2 linked regions of the Kluyveromyces lactis genome follow. The protein of the gene in region 1 purifies or fractionates together with the protein of each later gene. This does not show direct contact. Links are inferred from orthologs where the notes say so. Each region holds a gene or a part of one and is shown in the gene's direction. Other genes may lie near its edges. The genes, in order: CLP1 and RNA15.

Region 1 (3,494 bases):
TCGTGTCAAAATTAGATCTTTGACCACAGCAAAAGTAAGGATAGGAAAGGGGAAGGAACTCACAGTTACGACGTAGAAGGAAATCAGAATTTTGCACGTTGTAGTCGCATTATTTGGCTTGCTAAATTTGATTGTTATTGCTCTACCCAATTGCGTTTCCCAGATCATTGAATTGTTTTTAAAACATCATGACACTTTACAAATTATTAACACCTAAAGCATTCGCAGAATTATTATCCAAGGAAACTAAGCGCCGTATTATCCCAGTAGATTCCACCTGGTATTTACCAAACTTGAACAGAAGTGGGAAGCAAGAATTTTTAGATGAAGAACGTCTAAAAGGAGCTGTTTATTTTGATATTGATGGTGTCAAAGACATGAAATCTGAATATCCTCATATGTTACCAGATCTCAGTACTTTCAATAAATCCATGAGTGAATTGGGACTGAAGAAGGATGATATTTTAGTGGTTTATGATAGAATTGGTAACTTTAGCGCACCTAGATGTGCATGGACATTAGCTGTTTTGGGACATGATCCCGTATATCTCTTGAACAATTTCCCTGCCCTGAAACTGTCTGGGTACCCCGTTGAGACTTCTAAAGTGACAAGTTTTACTCCATATGAAATGAGTGAATACGTGTCCGATGTTGATTTGGCAGAGAAAGAAACAGTTTCCTTTGAAGATATGCAGAAATTGGTGTCGACAGGTGATATTAAGAACTACCAGGTTTTGGACGCTAGAAGTCTTCAAAGATTTACTGGTGAGGCGCCAGAACCTAGACCGGGCCTCAGCTCTGGTCACATTCCTGGCGTTCAGCCATTGCCCTTCCTAGAGGTCTTGAACAGTGATAAAACTTTTACTTCAGATCGTGAGGAAATGCTAAAGAAAATACAAGACTTCGTCTCGCAAACCGGCAATGAGTTTGAAACCGATAAACCAACCATTGCAATGTGTGGTACTGGTGTCACAGGTGTCATAATCAAGACTGCATTAGAGATTTCAGGTGTCAAGAATGTCAGACTCTACGACGGGTCTTGGACCGAATGGGTGATGAAAGATGGAGAAGTGGCTAAAGGAAGTTAAGAGAAATACTTCGATAGAATGAGTGATTTCCCATACACTGAATGTAGGGAAGATGTGAAACATGCAGTACTACCTGAAAGAACAGTAGCTCTGCATCCCTGACACTTGAAAAGAACCCTGCGCAAATCAATAATTGCCCACAATTGGTTTATACTATATTTTCAGTATGTATGCTAGGAAAAATCTGTAATGATATATTGATCAAAATTAAAGTGTTTAAGTGTTAGAAAAGGTTTAATTAACATAGAACAAAAGGTAGATGAGCTGATAGCCCGACCATTACCACTCGCAGGAGAAGCTAGAAAAAAGGAAATGGAGTTTGTAGAATTCAGCGAGGTTTCTGAGACCACTAAGACATCGTCTCTTCCGCAGGGCCATGAATGGACCGTTCAAGTTCCAGCAGGATCAAAGCTAACAGTTATTGTGAAGTATGGGATCGCTGAGATACTGGGAACAGAGCTTGCCAACGATGTGCCCTACACATTCCAAGGTGTAATAGTGAACATCTATGCTATTGAACGATCTATGATCGAATGGAAGTGTTTAGAAGAGCTTGAGCCAAAAGTTTCGGAAAATAAGTCATATCATGCCTACATATACAATCTAAATTTTGCATTAGAAAGATTACGACTCTCTAGTTTCAATGGACCTAGAGTACTAATAGTAGGTAACGCCTCAACTGGAAAATCATCGCTAGCTCAAATGCTATGCTCATACGCGTTGAAGATTAGACATTATCAACCGTTGTTAGTGAACTTGAACCCACAAGATGGTGTTTTTTCTTTGCCAGGTTCAATTACAGCGACACCCATTTCTGAGTTGCTAGATGTTGAAAGTTCTATATGGGGTCAGAGTATTACTACAGGTGCTACCAAGCTCCATAACAAGCAACCTCTTGTTAAAAATTACGGCTTGGAAAATATCAGAGATAATAGACCACTATATTTATCGACGATTACACAACTAGCATCGGGCGTGCAACAGAGATTAAAGAACGATCCAATAGTAAGAAGGTCTGGCGTAATAATTGATACCCCTAAACTTTCACATCTTGACACCGAAGATTGGTCCGAAGTTGGCCACATGATAGAACAATTCGATATTAACGCAATAGTGGTATGTGCAGAAAGTGATGACTTAGCTATCGAATTGAGTGAAGTATTCAGGACTAAAATAGGATCAATTGTAAGAATTCCGCCACCAGGTTCAATTATCGCAATTGATGATATCATGAGAAGAGCTTTACAGAGGGTTCAAATAAGAGAGTACTTTTATGGTACCACAGAAACAGTCCTAAGTCCATACACTATGGGTGCTGGGTTTGAAGAATTAACAGTTTTCAGGCCAAGAAATATCTCTGAATATGGAGAGGATAAAAAGGATGTTGATCTAACAGTATTTGACAAAATTGAAGTCAACAGCTCAAACTTACAGCACGCTATTATCGCTATCACTAATATATCTAGAAAAGAAAGCCAAGATAAACTTAACACTGCATCGATAATCGGGTACGGTTTGATCACAGAAGTGAATGATTCAAAGAAAAAACTCAGGGTATTACTTCCAGTACCGAGTAGAATACCAGATAGAGCTATGATTCTCACCGAGTACAGATACTTGGAATGATTCTTACTTATAATTCTTTCATAGTCATTGTTTACATATTTATGAAAAATGTCAACAAAATCGGATACTTTATTTAATGATAGGATATACACAAATGCGAATAAGATACACCGAAAAGGAAACTAATATATAGAAGCATTAAGATTGCTGCTGAGGTTCATTATGACCGTCGAATTCCAAAAAATTAGGGTAGTAACTGGCTATGATCCGTATGATCTCAGCTGTGTGGCGTTACTCGTATTATATTGCCTAGGGGAAATAAACTTGTCCCTCCATAACATCACACGAATATTACAAATAGTTCCAAATGATGAACTGGATAGCGTTGGGCTTCCAACATTAGAGAATCTAGTTTTATATCTCCGAAAGAACGAGGATAGTCAAACTAAGGCTTCCTTTAAGTTGATCAATCTCATATTTTCTATCTCCAGTTTTAACCACATTCAAGAATTGATTCATCATTTAAGAGATGCAATAATAGTTTCTCCAGATCAACAAGGAGTCCTTTCGAAATTCAGGAGAATTTTATGTCGTTCAAGTGTGATTTGCGAACTTCTACCGCGTGTTATAATAGACTCCAATATCAGCGAATTCTTCGTTGAAGATATTCATCAAATAGTCGAATCTTTTCAGGCATTCAAAACTAGGTTTTTATCCTGTGATATATCAAACATTTACAGAGAGGATATCAACAATTCATCAAATTTGACGAGCAGGATATTCTCACATACTCATACGAATGATTGTTTTCCAGAATCACCTTTTATAACCAATCAAGGT
Region 2 (3,040 bases), on another chromosome or scaffold:
AAAATTTCAGACCTTAACATGATGGACTGTTATCGAACAGGAGTCTGAAGGTAATAATTGAAGGTGAGCACCGACTATTTTCATTTGAGCTTGCAATATATAAACAAATCGAACTACAATGAATTCAACACCATCTGTAGAGTATTTACCATAGATACGATTCTTAATTGTGATATTACAACTTTGGTCATTTATACATGAAATACTAGTTAGCCGGAAGAATGTATGATGTAGAATTGGCGGATGCTATGTGTACACATCTAGCTAGCAATGAAATAACGAAAGAGTTTTAGTGCTTGATCACTGCCATCATCATGCTGCTTTAGTGTATCATATGCCAAGGCTATCTTCGTAAAATTCAAAGTGAGAATTTCAACTACGAGAACTTCCATCTATTACCGCAATTCTCACATGTACAAAAAGTAGTAAGAGGTTCATCCGCAGATCTTGTTTGTAGTTGGTAGTATGATACTTTTCTTTGTTTACATTTGCCACATTGGAATCTATCTGTTACTGATCTTTCTACAGTTGCACCTTGTGCATTAAACAAATTCTGTTTCTCAATTTCCTCAATTTTCTTCTTTAAATGTTCCGGTGCCAAGTCCTTAGGATCAGCAGTCACTAAATGTTTGGCTGATACTTCTCCATTCGTAATTCTATGTTTCAAATCTGGATTGTTCTTGGAGATTATATTTGAGTAAATTATTCTGTATTTGTCACGATATCCCTTTTCGTCAGACTCGGGATTGAACAGATTAGCCATTTCTGTCTCAATACTCATTACTGTATCTAGGATAGCTACTGGAGGATGTTCACTTTCTTTTGCCAATGCATCATATAATGCCCTAATAGCCATATCTCTAATCTTGACACCATATATATCCGTTTTCACACCGTCGTTCTTAGCATTTCTTGGAGCTTTGCTGACATATTTCTCCTTCTTTACTGCTTCTCCACCGCTTGTACCATTATTGTTACTTGTAGATGAGGAATTGCTGCTTAGTTTGCTTTTCTTTTCACGAGCCACAGCATCTTTCCAGGATAAAATCATCTTCTTCACCAATTTGACGATGTCTGGATTGGAAGATTTCTTAAATTGGTTGACTACGACCCCTACTTTCGTCTCTCTAAGAAGCTTCTCATTAACATCTTTCAAATCTTTATCTAATGACTGTAGAATCTTGAACACAACATCATTATTATTTTTGTTCTTCTCTAATCCTTTGACGGCTTCTAAAACGTCCTTGGTTTCCATATCCGCAGAAGATATCTCAGTTTCTATCTATATTCCAGGATCAATTTCTTTCGAAGATGAAGAATGAATGTTAATAATACACAGCAAATATTGCTCTCAACAGATTCTAATGAGTTAGGACCTGCTGAAATCCACCATTTGGACAATGGACAGTGTTGATTGTTTGAAGTCATTAATTAGTTTTCAATTCTAATTTCATTTCATTCGAACATTGAAAAAAAAATTAGAATTGAAGTTGATGACGAAAGTTGAAGAATCGAACAATAAAGCCATATCTGAGTTTTATTACACTTATAAAGTACCGCTAAGAGCATCGAAGGACTTGTAAGACAGACTTCCACCAGACAGCTAGCTGTGAAAATAACCTGGTGCAACCAATTTCAATCATAGAAATAGTTAAAAAGCAATGAACAGGGGAAATCCATCGCGCACAGTTTATTTAGGTTCGATACCGTATGACCAAACAGAACAACAAATATTAGACCTATGTCAGACGATAGGACCAGTAACGGCAATGAAGATGATGTTTGACCCAACGACGGGTAAATCTAAGGGTTATGCTTTTATTGAATTCAAAGATTTGGCAACTTCGGCAAGTGCAGTTAGAAACTTGAACGGGTATACATTGGGTTCAAGATCGTTAAAGTGCGGATACACCACCGGTAGTGGCATAAACGGCAGCGGATCTGGCCCCGGAGATGAAGAGGAGAATGGAAACATGGTTGAGGATGTGAAGTTCCCATGGCTCCCGGTAGGGGTGGACGTTAACATCAATATGACTACACCAGCAATGTGTATCAGTAGTGAATTGGGGAAGCTACAAAAGGACCAACAGATGGCTCTACTAAAAGTAATCCAACATTTCTGTAAAGACGACAAGGAAACTTTCGTAGCACTCCTAGAAGAGGCACCTCAATTGAGCTATGCTATTGCGGAACTCCTGTTGAGTAACGGTGTGTGCAGTGTGGACCAATTGACACAATTGGCTATGGCGAGTAAACAAAGGCCAGAGGAACAGACTGATAACACAGTGGAAGACGGATTAGACGAAGAGAAAGTGGATCTTCTAAGGCAAGTTCTACAGCTACAGGATTCAGATATAGCAATGCTTCCGCAAGACGAAAAGATGGCAGTTTGGGAACTCAAACAGAGGGCAATGAAAGGTGAATTCGGTCATCTTTAATAGATCGTCTCATGGATGGAAAATCAAAAATAATGAACATGCGTCAACTATAAAGTTCATTAATGCTTATAGATGAAACGGTGTAGAATGTACAAATTGAATACGCACTTTCGGATGAAGTAAAGTTCAGTCTCTAAAATATACCTTCAATGAGCCAGAATGCGCTTGACGGTAAGACAGAAGTAGCAGTATAATTTTATGGAAATAATGAAGAGAAGGGTTAATAACCAAGCTTACTCCACGTATGCAGTATCTATTCAAATTAATTAACTCTGTAAAGTCACGTGTATCAGCTCCAAGAAAATGAAATTAACTAGCGTCTACCCTATTAACATTTGTGAAAACTTCAACCCAGAATGAGCTGAAAGACACTAAGGTGGAGGCTTTAACGGATAAGAAGAGTACTCATGTGTGGAAAGCAATAATCCGAGTCAAGTATAGCACAATTTTTTCAAGTTAATCGTCAATGATATCCATCTGATGATGATGCTGCTGCTGTAAAATGACAACTGCCGCAAACATCGTTTCTCTGCCACCAAGTTTGTGACAAATGAATAAGCTTTCTCAGCCTTGCTTCATATGTAGCAAGGCTAAAGGAAATA

What was found.
Region 2: the proteins of CLP1 (region 1) and RNA15 purify together in Saccharomyces cerevisiae (affinity purification with mass spectrometry; 8 studies listed by BioGRID, with this or other methods). This does not show direct contact. The link is inferred for Kluyveromyces lactis from reciprocal best matches to the Saccharomyces cerevisiae genes CLP1 and RNA15.

Annotation. Positions count from the first base shown.
Region 1 is NC_006039.1:860,225-863,718, forward strand, and holds CLP1 (cleavage polyadenylation factor subunit CLP1), read left to right. Parts: upstream 1-1,400; coding exon 1,401-2,714; downstream 2,715-3,494. Other genes in the region: TUM1 (thiosulfate sulfurtransferase), read left to right, coding at 189-1,088; APC5 (anaphase promoting complex subunit 5), read left to right, coding at 2,877-3,494. UniProt on the Saccharomyces cerevisiae protein: Component of the cleavage factor IA (CF IA) complex, which is involved in the endonucleolytic cleavage during polyadenylation-dependent pre-mRNA 3'-end formation. Associates with HRB1/CF IB to form the cleavage factor I (CF I) complex.
Region 2 is NC_006042.1:864,049-867,088, forward strand, and holds RNA15 (Rna15p), read left to right. Parts: upstream 1-1,661; coding exon 1,662-2,438; downstream 2,439-3,040. Other genes in the region: transcription elongation factor DST1, read right to left, coding at 377-1,255. UniProt on the Saccharomyces cerevisiae protein: RNA-binding component of the cleavage factor IA (CFIA) complex, which is involved in the endonucleolytic cleavage during polyadenylation-dependent pre-mRNA 3'-end formation and cooperates with the cleavage factor NAB4/CFIB and the cleavage and polyadenylation factor (CPF) complex.